Danio rerio: one gene and its partners. The main gene of each other region encodes a partner of the protein of the gene in region 3 in a complex. Links are inferred from orthologs where the notes say so. Each region holds a gene or a part of one and is shown on either strand. Other genes may lie near its edges.

The links. Proteins that work in one complex are often made in the same cells at the same time.
Region 1: sf3b2 (region 3) and rbmx2 share a complex: the UniProt entries of both Homo sapiens proteins name them as parts of the minor spliceosome. The link is inferred for Danio rerio from reciprocal best matches to the Homo sapiens genes SF3B2 and RBMX2.
Region 2: sf3b2 (region 3) and eftud2 share a complex: the UniProt entries of both Homo sapiens proteins name them as parts of the minor spliceosome. The link is inferred for Danio rerio from reciprocal best matches to the Homo sapiens genes SF3B2 and EFTUD2.
Region 4: sf3b2 (region 3) and crnkl1 share a complex: the UniProt entries of both Homo sapiens proteins name them as parts of the minor spliceosome. The link is inferred for Danio rerio from reciprocal best matches to the Homo sapiens genes SF3B2 and CRNKL1.

The regions. Positions count from the first base shown.
Region 1 is NC_133196.1:41,942,528-41,948,018, reverse strand, and holds the start of rbmx2 (RNA-binding motif protein, X-linked 2), read right to left. Parts: upstream 3,799-5,491; 5' UTR 3,752-3,798; coding exon 3,747-3,751; intron 2,346-3,746; coding exon 2,230-2,345; intron 969-2,229; coding exon 917-968; intron 817-916; coding exon 687-816; intron 1-686. UniProt on the Homo sapiens protein: Involved in pre-mRNA splicing as component of the activated spliceosome. As a component of the minor spliceosome, involved in the splicing of U12-type introns in pre-mRNAs.
Region 2 is NC_133178.1:15,083,023-15,088,396, reverse strand, and holds the start of eftud2 (116 kDa U5 small nuclear ribonucleoprotein component), read left to right. Parts: upstream 1-1,576; 5' UTR 1,577-1,856; intron 1,857-1,884; exon of another isoform or gene 1,885-1,936; intron 1,937-3,927; 5' UTR 3,928-3,938; coding exon 3,939-4,040; intron 4,041-5,374. UniProt on the Homo sapiens protein: Required for pre-mRNA splicing as component of the spliceosome, including pre-catalytic, catalytic and post-catalytic spliceosomal complexes. Component of the U5 snRNP and the U4/U6-U5 tri-snRNP complex, a building block of the spliceosome.
Region 3 is NC_133182.1:6,516,366-6,521,294, forward strand, and holds part of sf3b2 (splicing factor 3B subunit 2), read left to right. Parts: intron 1-6; coding exon 7-115; intron 116-2,967; coding exon 2,968-3,056; intron 3,057-3,133; coding exon 3,134-3,325; intron 3,326-4,929. UniProt on the Homo sapiens protein: Component of the 17S U2 SnRNP complex of the spliceosome, a large ribonucleoprotein complex that removes introns from transcribed pre-mRNAs.
Region 4 is NC_133195.1:52,274,648-52,280,172, forward strand, and holds the start of crnkl1 (crooked neck-like protein 1), read left to right. Parts: upstream 1-1,727; 5' UTR 1,728-1,778; coding exon 1,779-1,826; exon of another isoform or gene 1,827-2,282; coding exon 2,283-2,435; exon of another isoform or gene 2,436-3,139; intron 3,140-3,369; exon of another isoform or gene 3,370-3,401; intron 3,402-5,066; coding exon 5,067-5,158; intron 5,159-5,318; coding exon 5,319-5,477; intron 5,478-5,525. UniProt on the Homo sapiens protein: Involved in pre-mRNA splicing process. As a component of the minor spliceosome, involved in the splicing of U12-type introns in pre-mRNAs.

The DNA of each region.
Region 1 (5,491 bases), on a different chromosome or scaffold from region 3:
AGCCTTCAGTTTTTCCACTTACAAAGTCCGCCATTAGGGGTGATTTTAGGATTTTCATTTTAGGGGGGCTTACCTCCTTATATGGTGAAAAAAAAATCTATTATAAATATAAATATTATAAATATAATATAAAGCCTAATATTACATTCATAAGTAGTAATTTAATAGTGTCTAATATGGGTTGTATACTAGTATTCCATAGACAGGCATAGCCATTTGAGTTCTGAATAAGGCAAATAGGCTCAACCCACCTGTTCACTGTAGTAAAAAGCACTTTCTATAGTCAAGTGCATTTTTTGTTTCCAGGTATTAAATAAATAAACTGCCACTTTTTTATTGAACTGACACACACACACACACACACATGTGTATATATATGTGTGTGTGTGTGTGTGTGTGTGTGTGTGTGTGTATATATGTATATGTGAAAAGTTTAGATGCAAAAAGCCATTTGATATTTTCTTCTAAAATGAGTGATAAAATAGTGACGAATAAGTTATTTTCATTGACTTTGAAGTTAAATATATGAACATAAACATAGGAAGCTGAGATAAATGCTCATTTTAGGAGAACGTTTCAGATGGCACTTAGAGGTTTTTGCATCTGAACTCTTCTGCATCTGAATAAAATACAATTCAGGTTGAAAAAGACCACATCACTAAAAAGACACTAGAAAAGCGTTTCACCTTGATTCCGTTAAAGTTATCGACAGCCAGAATAGTGCTCCTCTGATCTTCATAGCACAGGAAACAGAATCCTTTGGATTTGCCAGTCTTTTTATCTCGAACCAAGTTGATGTTGGCAATCTCTCCATACCTGACATTCACAGAGGAGGATTAAGCTTTACTAGCAAAGAAAATAAATACTGACGTCTTTAGCACAAAAAGACATGTTTAAAATGAACACTCTGGCTTACTGAGAGAAAACACAGATGATGTCTCCTTCTGTCAGCTCATATGGAAATCCACCTGCAGATTGATATTAATATACATATTTACATTACTTAAAATAAATACACACACACACACGCACGCACACGCACGCACACATATATATATATATACATATTTATATAAATATATATATACACAAACACACACACACACACACACACACACACACACACACACACACACATACATACATACATACATACATACATACATACATACAAGTCAAAATTTTTAGACATCCTGAATTAATAGCTGTACATTTTCCCCCCCAATTTCTGTTTAATGGAAAGATTTTTCAACACATTTCGAAACATAGTTTTAATAACTCATTTCTAATAACTGATTTCTTTTATCTTTGTCATGACGGCAGTACATAATATTTTACTAGATATTTTTCAGGATACTAGCATTCACCTTAAAGAGCAAATTAAAGACTTAACTAGGGTAATTAGATCAACTAGGCCAGTTAGGGTTTTAAGGCAAATCATTGTATAAAAAAGATTTGTTCTGTAGACCATCGAAAAAAAATATTGCTTAAGGGGGCTAATAATATTGCCCCTTAAATGGTTTTAAAAAATAATTTAAAACTGCTTTTATTCTAGAAAAGATTAAAGACATCAAAGTTTCTCCAGAAGAAAATAGTCAGAAATACTGTGAAAAGTGTATTTCTCTGTTAAACATCATTTGGAAAATGTTTGAAAAAGAAAAAAACACACATTCACAGGAGGGCGAATAATTCTGACTTCATGGTTTGAATTGCAATGTTCTGTCTAGTAAATGAATGCAACATAAAAAATACAACAATAAATGTAAATCACTTTGAAATTGTACAAGGTCAGATCACTGTGTACCAGTGTGGGTTTCTGGAGGACTAAAATCATGCCATTGTCTACAAAAACACACATTTAGTTAAACAGATGAATGCTGCCACCATCTGGCAGAATGTAAATATAGTCCATCCAGACAGCATCTTAGCTTCCATAACAGGCATGCCCAAAACTCAGTCCTGGAGGGCCGGTGTCCTGCAGAGTTTAGCTCCAACTTGCTTCAACACACTTGCCTAAAAGTTTCTAGTATGCTATTTAAAGCTTGATTAGCTTGTTCAGTCAAGTTTAACTAGGGTTGGAGCTTAATTCTCCAGGACTCCGGCCCTCCAGGACCGAGTTTGGGCACCACTGGTCTATAATAATGATTGCCGAAGTGCTGTGACAGATTGATCTATCTTTTGGTCCACAGCCATAATGTAACTATGTAATAATGTTCATCATTTCCTCACCGATGAAGACCCAGGCGCTGTTTTTATAGACTGAATGCCAGGACACAGTCTCTTTGATGCCCAGCTGAGCTTCTCTTTCATTCAGTTCATTGATCAGCTTCACTTTGGTCAGTGGACTACATTTAATGAAGAAAAAAAAAAAACAGAAAAAAAGACAGATAATGAATATATGTTTGCTTGTTCATTCATTTTGTGGGCCACAATATGTCATTTTGTTTATTATTCTGTTATGGTGACTAAACCAAAATATGAGAAAATGCAGTATATTCAGGATTAGGGCTGCACAATATATTGCTTTAACATCGATATCGCAATGTACAAATATGCAATAGTCACACTGCAGCATCCGCAGTGTTGAGTTGTGATTACAATGACCAGGAATTACATTTCAGAACATAATTTTTGGAGTCATCGCAAATTTGAATCCTAACAGAGTGAAAGATTTTCATTTGGATGCGTTTTAAGGAACTGTGACAAGTGAAAGTAAACCAAGAAATTTTAGTTTTATAGTTTAGAGATTTAACAAAGAATAAAATTGTTTCTAGTTACTACAATTAATACAATATAATGTTATTTGATTAATGTTAGTTTAATATTCTTAGACTCCACAGAAAACCATAAAACACAAAACAAACAAACACATTCTACTGCATTTATCTATGCTTACAAATTGTTTATAATGTTTCATGCAAATATTTGAATTGTTTACACAGAGTTATTTAGGTAATCTTTTGTGAAATCATATTTATATCGCAATGTATATTGCAGAAAACTAAAAACCGCAATGTCATTTTTTTTACCCAATGTCGTGAACCCCTATTCAAGATTCATTATGACTTTGACACTTTTTACAGCCTAAAATCTTTAAAAATTAAAGATGTCAACACAATAAACATTGATGTATATGGTTTTGTTATGCAAGTCAATAGTTTTGTCCCACTGATAACATTTCTTCTATATTCAACATACAATGTAAACTGATAATTGGTCACAAAAGATTATCGTTTTCGTAAAGGAATCATACATGTTTATATTCATTTTTAGACAACACAATACCAATGTTTTAAATAACGACGAGTTAAGAAATCTGAATTTAGTAGACAAAAATTGACTTTATATCACAACAAAGTAAAATGATTATTATTCTGACCAGTTGTAAGCTTATGAAAAAAGATATACTTTAATGAGTTGATAAAACTAAAAATGATTTCTCAATAACAAGTAAATAACAATTGAACAACGTTCCACGACAAAACATTTCTATTATAAAAAATATTTTAATTATATTATTATTCCAGTAAAACACATGTAACTGAATGTTAATGTTTAATGTAACAGTTTTCGTTTATATTTATGCTAGCTTTAGCTGTTGCTGCAAACCAGAGGCTTCTGGCTGTATCGACATTTCATTCCATGACTGAATAGTCTAATTAAATTCTCAAACGTACAAGAAACACGGTATAACAAATGTATTGAAAATATTTTAATCAAACGCAAACATTTAACTCATCACTTACTTCATTTTGGTGAATCGAAGTCACTCCGGAAATAGTTTCTTTTTCGCAGTCCACACGTGGTGCCATTGTCTTCCGGTTTAGACAAAAGGATTGTGGGATGTGTATTTGACTGACTGTCCATACGGCGTTTTTGTAGTAAAACCATGCTAATTGCAAAGTAGCTAAATTATTTCGCTAAATCATTAAAACAGTGGTAAATAATAAAAAAAATGAACAAAAAACAAATAAACAAACAAACAAACGAACGAATCATGCTTACAACACTGCTAAAAATTAATAGTTTCTGTCAGTTTGATTGAATTATAGCCTACATTTTCCTCAGTTTAGAGGCTTAAATGGTTGAATTAGCAAAAATTTCAGCAATATTTACTGCATTTTTGTTATTTTGTACCTTAAACAGGCTCTAAAGGAAACAAAGAGAAAACTAGATGTGATGATTAACTTAATGTCTTCATAAAAATAGGCTATAGCATCATATTTGACAGAAATGATTTATCAAAATAAACAATTCTTTGTTGAAAAGCTTTATTAGAAATATCATGGAAAATTCTAACATTTATCAAACCAATCAACCAAGATGTTTAATCAATAGGGTTTTTCAGCCAAAGATAAACATCCGGTGAAAGCTTAATGTGACTATTTTCAGTTTCATAAGGTTCCTTTCACAGCATCGATGTTGTAATGTAATAACACTTTCAGTTAAATAGACTTAAGCATTCATTCAGTTGTTCAAGAGTAACAAGATAAAAGACCGTGTACAGATAGCGCCGTCAAGATCAGCAGGCTGCAGAAACTTCATACCAGAAAATACTGGGGTAAACATGTTGGGGGAAATGTCATTTAAATCAGTGATTCTTGTCCGGTCTGAAACCCACATATCGAATATCTAACACGCAGTAAAGATCACTAATTTTCAAAGAAATCAGACCTTAAATGTGGCAATTTTATAACAGAAAGACACTGAAAGCCCTGGGGCTGCCTTACTAAAATTAAAAGTCAGTGTACATATACCCCATCAGCACAGCAGGCCTCTGATTTAATTTAATTGCACACAACAATTTAACTTACAGAGCTTTCATCATAAAATTAGCCCCAAAATGTTATCTTACTAATAAAGACAGATTATTTTGAGGTATAATGACATGTGACTCTTATGTAAGCAATATACTATTGTGAAATATTGATTTCCCTTTGTGGCCATATAAAATAACACAAATGTTCCAAACTAGGATTTACACTGCATAATTTATTTTCTAGGATTTTTTTTTTGGCATGTTTCTAGTCCAAATATCAAAAAATTACTCTTATATCAAGAAGCATTTTCTAGGTAAGCAAAACATATTGTCTTGTTTTGAGAAATAATATGCCAATATTAAGTGATTTTTTCCTTAAAACAAGCTAAATAATCTGCCGATGGGGTGAGCAAAATAATCTTGTTTCTCCTTTTGACATAAGATTTTTTTTTACCCCATTGGCAGACTATTTTGCTTGGGACTTGTTCTTTTTATAGAAGTTAGGGTTAATTACAAGTAAAGTTTGACAAAAAATTGGGTTTCTCTTGTTGATGTACATTAAGCTTTTTTCATGCTAAGCATTTTAGAATGTCCCCTCATCGATAATTGTAAAATCTTAAAGGCAACAGTGATATGCAAAATGTCTGTCTTCTTTCCTGTCTTTTAATAACTGCTAGTTCAAGAATAAGCAAAATAATGTTACCTTGTTGTTGTTGTTTATGAAAAAAACTT
Region 2 (5,374 bases), on a different chromosome or scaffold from region 3:
GCCTTCCTAATCAACAACATCCTTATGCCTGGAAAATTTTTCATACATAAATCAAAATATTTGAAGGTGAAACTAATGTTTTGTGCTTTTTATAATGAGATTCTTTCATATATAAAATCCCTTAAAGATCCTGAGGTGTGGAATCTGAAGCATCCATAATGCATCCACAAACATACAGTGAAAAAACAAATGATCTGTTGTTTCAATATCATCACAAAACACACATTTATTAGACTCAAATCCAAATCTAATTCCTAAATATTTACTTGACAGATTCATCCCACTTAAAACTTTAAAATGAACTTTTTTAGTTATTGGAGACAGAGGAAACTTTAAATATTTAAATATTTAATTTTAAGTACGTGAATGGTATCTTTTTAGATAATTTATGTGAAGTTGAGTTTTTTTTATAATTATTATTTTTTCCTTAATTATGTCTAAATAAGGAAATACTTTCTTACTCTACTCTTGTAACCCCAACTGTGCCTCGTGTGTTAACTGAAGTCTGTGATTTCAAAGAAAGAAATCTATGTAAAAACCAATGATTGGTAACAACATTTTATATCCTATAAAATGGATATAAAATGTTGTTACATAGATTTCTTTCTTTGAAATCACAGACTTCAATTAACACAGGAGGCACAGTTGGGGTTATAAGGGTAGAGTAAGAAAGTATTTCCTTAATTAGACAGACAAATGAGATAGAAATGGCTTTAAAGATTTAAACTTTACTGAATTAGAAATTATATTTAGTACAAACATTTTCATATGAAGTAATACCTTTATTGCTGTCAATTAATTGGGATACTGACAAATCTCTTTTCCCATCCATTCCTTGTCAAACAATGTTTTGTTTTTAATAGTGTTCACTTCATTTTATGACCATTTTCAGCCTACAGATATGCACCTTATTGTTGGAAGAAATTGTCTAGCTATAAAAAAAACTAGAATTAAAAATGTTTAACTGGTTTTGTTTTGATTTAGATTTTTTTATTCAGAGAGCTTATATTAGCTATAACAGAGTTTGGTTGTCTATTAGTAGGCTACATTTGCAAATTTTAAGTCTTATAAGTCTGTCAGTCACCCTACTTTTTGAGTACATACTTGAAAATGATACATGGTAGTAGCCTATGTATGTAGCTATAGTTTGTCAAGATAAATTCAGATCTAGATACTTTTTGTACTGAAAAACAAAAAAAGTTTTTTGTATAATAATTAAAGCTGTAAATCATACTTAAGATTACCCTTAAGTGTTTGAAGCCAATATCTATTTGAGCCACTTCATAGATATATATTCCATACATATATAATACACTCCATATGTGTGTGTATATATATATAATAAGATATCTATGGAGTCACTCAATGTTTATTTACGTTTTTGTTTTTACTCCAACATTAAAAAATAGTGGTCAAAATTTTAAAATTGATTTTTAAATATATGAAAACTTAAAAAAACATTTTTTTTAGTAAATCTTGGCTGACTGCGACATGTATTAGTAGCCTGTTTTTTTTTTTTCAAACAGGCAATATGCTTGGCGAACGCTGATGACGTCACCAACGTACGACCTACGTTGAGCTGTGCGAGGACCTCGCGGTGCATGGTTTGAAACAGTACGAGGGATCATTTTGTAACAATAAAATCACACCGGGATTAAAAACAAGACTCGCACACAGGTATAACACTGTTATAATACGCACTATATTTACGACGGAAATAATTATTTACACGAAGCAATTATTCATTCATTCGCTGTCGTACGTTTGCTGCGCGATCAGTTGCAATATCGGCTTTACTTGAGGCAGTTTCACAAGGGAATCTTTTATATTTATTGCGATTTTCAGTATGTTATGAGGTAATTTTATTCACTTTAATGTTTGCTGTGTTTATTGGGCTCTTAAAGATACATGTTCGACACTACAGCATTTTATTGAGGTAAAGTTTTTGCTCATTGACAACTTGTGTCACGTTCCCTTTGGTGTTTACATTGAGGTAAAGTTGGTTTTATATTCGGACTTTCCCTTTAATAATAGCTATAATTTAAAAAGATATGATTCTCTGCAAGTAGTGAACTCATATTAGCAGCCATAGACTTTCAAAGTACAACATTGTTCACAGAGTTAATAGAATTAAATTGTGCTAACGCTGTTTTGAAGTTAAACTTACTTTCTATTTCAGGCTGAATATTCAAAGTACAATATAGAGAAGGTATTAATTTAACGTTACCAGTTTCTATCCAAAACGCAAAACTAACTAGCACATTGGTTGGATGCAAATTAAGGTAAACTTGGTTATATTAGCACATTCATTCAGTGACAACTTGTGACATGTTTCTTATATTGTTTACAAGGCTACTTTCAATATTTGGTTTGAAATCACATACAAGTATGACTTCAAAACAACATTAGCACTGTTTGATTGACTGAACAATGTTGTACTTTCATAGTCACTGGCTGCTAATATGATTACCCCGTTTATAATTTGCAAAGAATACTTTTCTGAGATGATATTATCAATGAGAATGTGTGAATAGAAAACCAACTTTACCTCAATGTTACTTTTAATATTCAGTCTGAAATTGCTTCCAAGTATGAATTCAAAACTGTGAAGACTTTGACTGTGAGCAATGTTGTACTTTGATAGTCATCGGTAGCTAATATGAATTTCTTATTTAGAATTTGTAAAGAATACTTTACTGAAATTATATTATTAAGAAAAAAGTCTGAATGTTCGAATATTAAGATAAAAGTTTTAAGCAGAGTTTAATTAAGTTTAATTATTCAAAAACATTTACAGTGATTCGGACTATTAGGGAATAAACCTTAGTGTGTCACCTTTCAAAAGAGACCAAAACAATGCATAGTTACCTCATAGAATAAAATTGACTTCTAATGTATTTATCCCTTTTTCGTATAAAATAAAAAAAACAGATTTTTAAAAATACGGTTTCATTAAGCTGCAGTCTGGAGTAGGCATGAGACGATAACCATTTTTTAAGCTATACCGCGGTTTAGAAAAGTCAAGGTTTTAAAACCGTCAATTTTCTGCTATATTGTTCCTAGGGTATGAGTAAGATTTTTTAATTTACTTTTTTCTTAGTTTTTTTTTAGGACAGCAGAAAAGATATTCAAAGATTGCGTTTTAAATTTTTTACAAATCTGTATTTTTGAAACAAATGAAGGAAGCAGAAGTCAATAATTCATTTGAATTATTTAGCCTGACATGTTTACTGCTCCAAAATATTATGAATGTTTCCCAAATAAAATATATTGTGTACAAAGGGGAAAACGTTTTTATTTTTTTACCCAGACATTTAAAAGGAATATATTTCAGAGCAGTAATCGCAATACCTAAAACCGTGATATTTATATCCAAGATTATCATAGTATCAGAATCTTATACCAGCCCATGCCAAATCCGGGGTTTTAAAACATTTAACATCAAATAAATACTCTAAATATAGAAAAATCCTGCAATGTTTTAAACAAAAACCTTTATTTGTTTTTAGAAAGACACCCACAAATAAACTTTTTTTACAAGGGGTGAGTTAGTCAGCTAAAGTTAGTTGTAACATTTGTGATTTTTAAATATTTTAACAATCAATAATTTTACAATCGAATTTGTCACCTGACAAAGACCAATACTAAAAATGGTTAAAAATAGCATGCAATTTACTTTGGGTATGCATTTTGTTAGGCATTTAAGCAAATTTTACAGAAACGCTAAGAATTTAAACCAATTTTACCTCAATCAGCATTTTGTGCAGTAATACTAAAAGTGTTACAGTAACGTTTTTCCCAACACTAGAAAATAAAACAGACAGAATAATGAACCACTGCTGCATTTTAAATGAGTTGATCTGCATTCCGAATAGTTCCTCTGCACCAAAGTAAGTTATGTCATTTGTATCTGTTTTGTCCTATCAGAGCTCGTCGCCATGGAGACTGATCTTTATGACGAGTTTGGAAATTATATCGGACCAGAGCTGGACTCTGATGAGGATGAAGAGCTAGATGCAGAGGACCGGGATGCTGATGAGGTGATTGTATAACCTGTAATCATATTCAAACTGCCAAACCGTTGCTAGTTGGAGCATTTGTGCCATTTAAGTGCAGTTTCATTAACCCTATTACATTAACCCTTAATTGCCTGCTCAAATCGTTGACCAGCTTTTGACTTTTAAATAATGACTTTTAAAGTCATTTTAAGAATGACTGTTTTAATAATGGTTTACACGACACAGCATTGTTGGTTTATAAAATAATCAAACAAATGTAATCCTGTTTTGTTACTACACTCAATTTTGGTTTTATTGATATATATATACACACACACACACACACATATATACATACATATCTATATATATATATATATATATATATATATATATATATATATATACATATATATATACATACATACATACATACATACATACATACATACATGCATACATACATATATATATATATATATATATATATATATATATATATATATATATATAAGAAAACATGTTAAATGAGAATCTGAAATATTTTTTGGCATACTTCAAAAAATAAAGATGATATAGTATTCAAAAACAATTTATTTTGAATATTTTTTTTAAATAAATATGTCTTACACTTCATATTTTCAGATTTTTCATTGGATATGTATTAATTCCGGTAATTTTTCCATAAACGGACACATCAACCTCTACCAAATGGTTGATATTTTGTCGCATGTTGAAAAAAAATTCATTGGATGTGTTGACTAGTGACATTATGAGTTAAGAAATGCTATCCATAGTATTTTTTTCTTGGTGGAGCAGTTAAAGGGTTAATATACCATATTCCTAAATTATACGTATATTAATATACAGAACTCATTTAAATGAGGACAAAAGTAGCAGGTCAAATCGCCAGGGCTCTGATTTATCAAATTTGCATAGACAAGTTCTTAGTAAGGAACATACATCAGAATAAAGTAATTTATTTATTGATGATTAGCTCATTTAAAGTGGTTTAAATCAATATTTAAATTAAATATGTTTGCTTAGAGATTAATTACAGCTGTGGACACTCTCCTCTCAAGCTTATAGATCACAACCTTTGAGTGGCTAACGCATATTTCTGCCCATTTTGTGCATATGCCATGTTCATCAATGAGACCCCAGAAGAGCAGTTACACATAAAGCCTAATTACACAATTAGGATCAAAGCCTAAAAGGGGTCATTTCAAAAAGTTATGAAGCGTTATTTGTGGAATATTTTTTTTTATAATTATTACGTTTTTTTTCTATGTTTTGGGGGGAGGGGAGCACTGGGAGCAGAGAGAGGGGAAGTATGGGCATAGGACCTCAAGCCGGGAATCGAACTCGGGTCGCCC
Region 3 (4,929 bases):
GTTCAGTCGTGGCAGGGGGAAGATGTCGGCATTGGACCCAAGATTCCTCAGGCTCTGGAGAAAATCCTGCAGCTGAAGGAAATGAGGCAGGAGCAGCTCAGCGTCGCCCCTACAGGTAACTATGAGTAACTGCACAGGGCTTATGTAACATTTATTAGCCTTAAATGGCACCTATTATACAAAAATCACTTTTATAAGGGGTTAAACACAGTTGTGTGGCAGAAATGTTTGAATATAACCAGCTTATAATGGTCAAAAATAATTAATTCCGTTTGTTTATAATCACACTTGATAAAGACCTTTCTCCCTTTGTACGTGTTATCAGTGGAGGAAAGCCCCGCCCATTAGTCACCATCTCTTTCTCATCAGCATAGGACTTTAGTCCTGTTTTTGAATCTACCACTATGCTGACACATGGGCATTTGTAGCTCCGCCCTCTTCAGAAAAAGAGCACAATCTCATTTGAATTTAAAGCGACAGTCACCAAAACGGCACAATATAATGCTCGGAATCTTCACATAAACACTAGGGACATTAGAGACTTATTTTGTAAAGAAGTGGCATAAATAGGTCTCCTTTAGTATTGATAATAACCATGTTTACAAGATGAGAGCACTTGAGTGCACTTCAAGCTTAATTACCCACAGGAGAGACAATGAATGTGCCGTTGAGACTCGCATTTGCAATCTGTGTGTGCATTCATGAAGTCAAAGTGAATGTAAAGGCTCTTCAGTTTGTAGCATCATTAAATAAAAAAAACGAGTGTAAGAATAATCCCAGATAGTTGAATGTGAACTTATACAGTGCTCAGCATAAATGAGTAACCCCCCCCCCCCCATTTCTCAGTAAATATATATGCACTTTTGGATGCATTGGTAACACTTTACAATAAGGTTGTGTCAGGTAATGCTTTTACTAACATGAACAAACAACGAACAATACATGTGTTAGTGTTCATTGTTCATTCATGTTAACCCACTATGTAATATTAATGTGAACGAGCACGAATGTGGATGTTAATAATGCATTAGTAGATGTTGAACTGTGGTTAATAAATGCTGTACACGTATCATTCATATTTTGTTCATGTTAGTAAATACATTCACTGATGAAACCTTAATGTAAAGTGTGACCGAATGTTTCATTTAACAGTTCAGTCCATTAAAATAATATAATGAAGATACTACATGTAAATTCAAATGAAAGTTATTATTACAAGAACAATTACAAACTGTTACGAAATGTTAAATGTTTCATTTATTTTGAGAGGGTGCTCGCTGCAGAGCCATTTGAGGAGAGCTGAGCTCCAGCGAGGGGGAGCATGAGCTGTCGCTCCTCCTCCTGTAAGCTGTTTTAATGCGTACACCAACCCTACCCCTAACCCTACCCCCAGTGACATCACTCGTAGAAGAAGTGCAAAAAAGGTGGAGCTCAAGCTTAAGCTCCCCCTCGCTGGAGCTCAGCTCTCATCAAATGGCTCTGCAGCGAGCACCACTTGTTTATTTTCCCCAACATATTCATTTGTGTGCTGTAGGGATGGTAGACAGCTTAAACCCAAAGAATGAGCAGTCTGTCAGATGAAGAAGAGCCGGAGTCAGAGATTTAAATAAATAAATCAAGTTTACTGAAGATAGTTTGCAGTTTCATCAGCAGAAGCCAGCTTCAACACTCCAATGAGTTCCTAGGCCGCTCTGCTTAAAATCACCAATCAATAACAATTATATTCTCAAATAAGGCAATTAACTGCGTCACACATATAGGTGCTCTAACCTGATTGGTTAAAACACAGATAGACTTGGAAAATTTTCATGTGGCATTAAGCGTAAACGTCAGACATCCACTAGACCAGTGGTTCTCAATCTTTTTTCATCAAGTACCACCTCAGAAAAAAATTGTCCCTCCAAGTACCACCATATGACCAGTATTGAAATACAGTAGTGTAGTAGGCCTAATTAAGCAGCTACAACTCTGCACAGTTTAAAAACGTGGCAGATGAATTACTATAATTAATAATATTTATTATTTAAACCTTGTAAATAGTTTGAACGTTAACACTGCTGTGCTGATATGTAAAAAAACAAACAAACAAAATAACATGGCAACGTTTAAATTAAAATTAGCTTTTAAAAGTTCGTAAAAAGTGAAAAAAAAAACTCCTGTACTTAAATGGAAAGTGTAAACCTATAATATCCTATTCATCAAAGCCTGGAAATGCTGCTTGGACCTCATAAATATAGGCTATATGTCATCATGTTTATATATGAACCATTTTTGATCATTTTGAAATATATGTTGCATGTACAAATGACTATTGGATTACTCTGCGTACCACTAGAAGGCAGCCCACGTACCACTAGTGGTACACGTACCACAGTTTGAGAACCACTGCACTAGACTGATTAGAGCTGACTCCAGACCTGTGAAACGGATCAACAATCAAGTAGAGCACACACACTTAAAGTACAATCTGTTTGAAAAGTACATCCTGAGTGAAAATATGCTGAATGAGAGTGAACTGCTGAACTGCACTTAAAGTCTAAAGATTAAAAATGAAACGCCTGAAATTACATGAAACTCTGGAGGAAGCGCATGATAGCCTGGTGATGCCAAATTAAATGTTTTATACTGAAACTTTCCTTCTAAAAGTGCTTCCTTGGTCTTATCCAAATTTCTTAGCACGTTAAACGCACGTCGGCCACAAAAAGAAATTAAAAAACTGCAACTGCGTTAATTTTTTTAACGCGTTAAACCAATCACGTGCGTTAACGCACTAATTTTGACAGCCCTAGTTTTGACAATTATTTTATCCAAAAGTCAATATTTATATTTGAAATATGAAATGGAGATGGGTTGAATTCTCTCTGGGTCTGGACTTAGAGAAGTGCTCATATGTAGGCTGTATAAACTCTGTAAATAATCAAACTGTCTCATGATTAAGTTTCTGTCTTTTGTCTCCTGTTATTTCAGAGGATGATGATGATGATGATCTCGCGGAGCTGACTAATATTCACGGATATTCAGATGAAGATGACGAAAACAGTCTGTCTAAAAAAGACGTGAGCTTTACTCTCCGTCATCCATCCAGGTTGCTCTCCTGATCACTTGTGCTGAATTTGTTCTTGTGTACTTGCAGAAAAACCGTAAGCGCAGGAACAGGAAGAAGAAGAAGAAGAAGAAGCAGCGTGAGCAGGAGAAGGAGCAGCAGGACGAGGAGAAGAAGAAAGATGAGAAGGAGCCGGAGGTGGAGATCGAGTACGTGACAGAGGAGCCGGCCATCTATGACCCCAACTTCATCTTCTTCAAGAGGATCTTCGAGGCGTTTAAGGTCAGAAACTGCTTTCATTTAAAAGGTCACGATCCACACTCGTTAAATAATTACTTTATTTCTTTATTTTTTTTTTACAGATTAAGGTTTTTCGATTTTGAGGGAAATCATATTTTGACGACTTTGTGTTTTCTCCATTGTCAATGCTATTTGTTAAATTAGTTAGATTTTATTACACGAGCTGGATTCACTGGTCAGAATGGTGGGAAATCATAAGCATGAATATTTTGGTCGTGATTAAAATCTTGATTATTTAAAATGATTATTATTGAATAACTTTCCCAGAGATGGGTTGCGGCTGGAAGGGCATCCGCTGCGTAAAAAACGTGCTGGATAAGTTGACGGTTCATTCCGCTGTGGCGACCCCGGATTAATAAAGGGACTAAGCCGAAAAGAAAAGGAATGAATTATTGTATAACTAGTTACAATTATTAAATTACAGTAGAATAAAAATATACAAATGAAACAAACTGCTTTAAGCATCTTCACTGTAATTAAATTGATTTGTTTACTTATTTAAAATTAGCTAAAATGACAAATGTCTGGGACAATTTGTTTTGTGTTCAATCTACCTAAATTTGAACTTAAAAGTTAACACCAATAACTTTTTGGAAATCTTGCCCACTATAATAACTTTTTGGACACATGGTGCACTGTAACGCCTTTTTTGATATGTGGCCCACTATAATCACTTTTTGGACATGTGGCCCACTATAATCACTTTTTGGACATGTGGCCCACTATAATAACTTTTTGCACATGTGGTCCACTATAATAACTTTTTGCACATGTGGTCCACTATAATAACTTTTTGGACATGTGACCCACTATAATAACTTTTTGCACATGTGATCCACTATAATTACTTTTTGGACATGTGGCCCACTATAATAACTTTTTGGACATGTGGCCCACTATAATAACTTTTTGGATATGTGGCCCACTATAATCACTTTTTGCACATGTGGTCCACTATAATAACTTTTTGGACATGTGACCCACTATAATAACTTTTTGCACATGTGGTCCACTATAATTACTTTTTGGACATGTGGCCCACTATAATTACTTTTTGGACATGTGGCCCACTATAATAACTTTTTGGACATGTGACCCACTATAATAACTTTTTGCACATGTGGTCCACTATAATTACTTTTTGGACATGTGGCCCACTATAATTACTTTTTGGACATGTGGCCCACTATAATAACTTTTTGGACATGTGGCCCACTATAATTACTTTTTGGAACTGTGGCCCACTATAATCACTTTTTGGAACTGTGGCCCACTATAATCACTTTTTGCACATGTGGTCCACTATAATAACTTTTTGGACATGTGACCCACTATAATCAAGTTTTGCACATGTGGCCCACTATATTAACATTTTGGACATGTGGCCCACTATATTAACATTTTGGACATGTGGCCCACTATATTAACATTTTGGACTTGTGGTCCACTATAATAACTTTTTGCACATGTGGCCCACTATATTAACATTTTGGACATGTGGCCCACTATATTAACATTTTGGACATGTGGCCCACTATATTAACATTTTGGACATGTGGCCCACTATATTAACATTTTGGACTTTT
Region 4 (5,525 bases), on a different chromosome or scaffold from region 3:
GATATATTTATTAATATGATATTTTAGTCACTAAACATATTTAGAAATAGAAAGATAATACAATAAAATCAAGCTAAATTTAGCTAAAGTAAATTACAACCTATAAAATTTCAACAAAATTTTCCTTTTTTGTTTTTGCTTCTCTTGATTTTTCCTCTTTTGAAAAAAAAAATTGTATTTAATATTTTCCTATAAAATTTTTTGGCTTTTCTAGTTTTTGGGCCGTTATTGTAAGTTGTTTTGTTTGATAAGCTCCAGATTTGGCTTCAGTACTGACTAATGTATTTGCACAAATATAATACTGCAGCTTCCTATTAAAAACATGAATATAAAATAAAGATTTTTGAGGAGTGTATGGTACAATACTTATTACAAATTACCATGTATTTTGTATTATGTTGCTACTTTTGTTAAAATTATTCACATTTAACAGATTATATAAGTGGTATGTAAACATTCGAGCACAACTGTAGACGTAATATACAGTTGAAGTCAGTTGAATTATTAGCCCCCTTGTTTATTTTTTCCCTAATTTCTGTTTAACGGAGAGCAGATTTCTTTTCAACACATTTCTAAACATAATAGTTTTTGCTAACTCATTTCTAATAACTGATTTATTTAATTAATCATGATGACAGGTAAATAATATTTTATTAGATAATTTTCAAGATACTACTATACAGCTTAAAGTGACATTTAAAGACTTAATTAGGTTAATTAGGTTAACTAGGCAGGTCAGGGTAATTAGGCAAGTTATTGTGTAATGATCTGTAGACAAAAATATAGCTTCATGGGGCTAATAATATTGACCTTAAATTTTATTTTATTTTTTTATTTATTTTATAAAAACTGCTTTTATTCTAGCCAAAATAAAACAAATAAGACTTTTTCCAGAAGACAAAATATTATCAGACATAATGTGAAAATTTCCTTGCTCTGTTAAACATCATTTGGGAAATATTTAAAAAAGAAAAAAAATCAAAGGGGGCTAATAATTCTGACTTCAATTGTACGTTATATGTTTTTCGTCTGTGTGCACGCACAGACTTATTTTGGTAAACAAATAAATAACAACTCTTTACGGTTATTTCATACACAATAACAAGCAATACATAATTAACAAATTAATAAAAATGGACATTCACTTACATTAAAGATAGGTCGGACTATAAAAAAATCTAACAGTGAGCGAATAAAGTTAAATAACATAACGTTACATGTAACTTTACTTTGAGCCTCGTCACTAACCTTTATAAAAACAAATAAACATTCACACACATTGAAGAAAATTCGGTTTAACAATAAACAGATCTAACAGTAAACAAATAAATAACAAACGTTTAAGGTATTTAATTGAGGTAAGTTAACGTTATTAATGTAAAATGTTGAGTTTTGAACTCAGTCACTAGCCAATAATAGGCAAAAATATTTTAAAACAACAAGCATTCACTTACATTGACAAAAAGTCGATACACAAGCAACATAAAACAATTAAACAGGTATTTTTGGTGTATAACAATAAAAAACTGAGTTTTAACAGCCTCAAACTGCTGACCTTTTATTTATTGATAACGTTAACCGCTAGCAAGCGTCCTGTCACCATGGTGAGATGCTCCGTGACGTAGATGCAGGCAAAGGTCACAGCGCGTCACGGCAGGCGCGACACACACGGCACTGAAACGTCGCTAACCTTACAGGTTTTAGCGGGCTTTCGAAATCTAAAACACAAGAACATACGTCTAATTTATTTTTAATAAAGTGTCAGGAGCGTAATAATCATGGCGTCCACCGCGGCGGGCAAACAGAGAATCCCGAAAGTGGCGAAGGTAAAACCTATATGATGTTTTTGTGAGTTAGCATTAGCATGTAAACAACGTGAAGTCGTGCTGACGTTACTTAATAATTAACTACTGTATATAAATGTGGTTAGTGGAGTTAAGCTTATTTTTTTATAATGTATTTGTGTTTGTGTTCAGGTGAAGAATAAACCCCTGTAAGTTAGCATTAGCATGTAAACAACATGTAGTTCTGCTAACGTTACTTTATAATTAGTTAACTGATGTATAATGTGTATACATGTAATCAGTTGAGTTAAAGGTTGTCTTGCTTTGTAATGGTTTTGTATTAATGCTCATGTGAAGAATAAAGCTGTGAGTTAGCATTAGCTTGTAAACAACGTGAACTTGTGCCACTCTGAAAATAACAACTGTATAATGTATAGAACTATAACCAGATGGGTTAAAGATTGTCTTGTTTTGTAATGGTTTTGTGTTTGTGTTCAGGTGAAGAATAAAGCCCCTGCAGAGGTGCAGATCACCGCCGAGCAGCTGCTCAGAGAGGCCAAAGAGAGAGAGCTCGAGCTGCTGCCACCGCCACCCAAACAGAAGATCACCGATAAAGAAGAGCTCAATGACTACAAACTGAAAAAGAGAAAGGTATGAAATGTTGTATCACCATGTAGTATACCATGGTGTCACTATATGCATATGTCATAAAGTAGTACTAAATTACTGTGCATGTACTGAAAGCTTGGTTCTGTCATGGCATATGCCTCAAAAATATACAGTAGTGTCACAATTGCTTATAGAATGTGCGCAGTGCTATCATGATGTTCAGAAAATATGGTATTGATATGGTGTGTAGATTATAAAAGATGATATCGCTATGGTTTAAATGTATTATTTTATTATGGTAAACCTCTAGAAAACATGGGCATTATCACAGTGCATATTCAGAAAACTCAGAGGATATGCAATGTCTTGTTGGGTTTATAGTTGACCAGAAGACAGTTTATATATGTATATAAAGTGGAAGTCTGCCTGTGTTTTATGGACTGCCGCTGTATGAACATTTCAAGAACGTATAAAGCATCCAGGTGTAACGCTTCTCTTCCTGAAGACGCAAATCACTCAGGCGGACACAGAGAACTGCGTTCTGCGTTGTTTATTCTGTAACAGAAATATACATCCTCTGGCAACAGTATGCATTTAAACATGCATCGCCTTTCTGCATTCAGCAACCATTTTCTGCTGTGTTGCCACAAAGTCATTTTAACAAAACATTATTTATTTACAAAAGGTTAACATACCTGTAACAGAAATATACATCATCTGGCAACAGTATGCATTTAAACATGCATCTAAAAAAACCAAACAAATAGTAAGAAATCACCCTTGCACATATTAATGTCATCATTCCAGCTACACCTAGCATGAGCAAATTAAACCACACAAAGTTTGTCACACACGGCAATCACTCGACAGATTTGATCTAAAACATCACTTAATGTTCATATTGGGCTTGTATGTGTTATTAATATGTGTTAAAATACAAAATTTGTCACATTTAGCTGGAGCACATTTTACCTACCGCCTTTCTGCATTCTGCAACCATTTTCTGCTGTAGGCGGGGTTTTGCAGGTGAAAGGTGAAAGAAACAATTACACACTGTTGCCACAAGAGGTCTCTCAACAGCCACAAAATAAACAAAATAACCCATTTTGGTGAAAGACAATTAAACATTATTTTAACCCTGTTACACAGGCACAAGAAATTAGACCATTTGTACCTTTAATAAAGATACATTTTTAAAATAATTTTTACAATAAAGAAGATGCAGTGTTTTATTTACATTTGATTTTTTTGCAATTCCTGTACCTGTTTGCTGTTTGACAAATTCATAAAGTAACAATACTTGTAATTTTTTGTTATTTTTTTATGCATGATTCAATCCTTTATTGCAATCAGTCTGAATTAATAAACACTTCCCAAATAGAGTTAAGGCATCTGATGGACCTATATTCATTTTGCATTATTTATCACAGAAAAACAAAATATGTCAATGTTTGATTTATTTTTCAATATCTTGCACCCCTAATGTTCATGCTTTGAATATGCTATGTCAACAAGGTACATCTGGTCACAACATGATGTTACCAGTGTAAAGGTTTTGTCAATTTGATGTTTCGCATTTGATGTTCGTTTCTATAAAACTCCTAGTATACATGTACTAAACTCAATAACACATGGTATTATTGTGATACATACTTTAAAAGCTTCATATACATAGTGCATCTGCAGAAAATATGTCATCAGTATATTATGTGTCAAAAAGAATAAAATTATATTAATATCTTAAAGTTAAAATGCCACTGTCAGTGGTATATAATTAGGGGTGCACCGATATGGGTTTTTTAGTGTATATCGATAACTAATAACTCTTCAGACTTGGAGGCTGATAGTCGATATATATAGGTCGATAATTATAAATGTTTAAAAATGTTATATTTTTAAACTTAATAAAAGATTGAACTGCTCTTATGAACTGAAAAGTCTACTCAAACCAAAAAAGCTATAATTTCAAAATTGCAAGGTGGTTATATAGACCTATATTCACGATTTCACATAAATCAGCATGCAAGAAAATTAATTATTTCCTTTTCTTCATAGCAAATTAACATGCAACTTCACTGTTGCATAAAAATAATAGGTTAAATAACAAAACAGGATTTAATCAACAAGCAAGTTAAATATATTTAAATAAGATGAAAATGAAAGAGCTAACAACTGAAACCAGCTCAATTGTTCTTGAATAAAACGTGTTACATTGATGTACATATGTACAAATATGTAATGTTCGAAAAAAAAAAAAACTTTTCTAAGGGTGTTTTGACAGTTCAGAGTTACCGTACAAGCAAAAAGTTGAGTACAGGTTGTATTACTTTAGAAAATGCGGCATAGATTCATCCTATTTAGCGTTTTAGATTCTTTTGAACACGTATAGCTGTAGTGCTTGTCAATCAGACAATGCTTCTGTGTTCGTTCTTGCTGTCAATTGCGGGAAAAATGATCATGAAAAGTTTATGATAAACCGCTGTGAGTTGAACTAAACGTAATTTATCGGCCTAATTTAGACATCGGATCGATAACGATAATCTTAAAAATAGCATTTATCGGCCGATAACCATATGGCTGCCGATATATTATGTGTCCCTTTACATATTATTCAAAAAGTTCTCAGTTAAATGAATATTTTGCTTCTCTACATTTTCTTTTCTTGTAATACAGGGCTTTGAGGACAACATCAGGAAAAACAGAACTGTGATCAGCAACTGGATCAAGTACGCACAATGGGAGGAGAGCCTGCAGGAGGTCCAGAGGTGAGGTTCCTCTCTTAAATAAAATTCTTATTTAATTTCAGGAACTGTGAAGTTTGTTTTTTGGTCTTCAGGATGAATAATCAATTGTGTGAAATTAATTGATTAATTTGTTGCTGACATGGCATTATTTAAAACTATTTGATGATGATGTTGTCTTTAGATCTCGCTCCATCTACGAGCGTGCACTCGACGTGGATCACCGCAATATCACACTGTGGCTGAAGTATGCCGAGATGGAGATGAAGAACCGGCAGGTCAATCACGCTCGCAACATATGGGACCGAGCCATTACCATCCTGCCCCGCGTCAATCAGTTCTGGTATGCTTTATCTCAAAATACTAATACTTTTAGACAATTGCCTGGTAT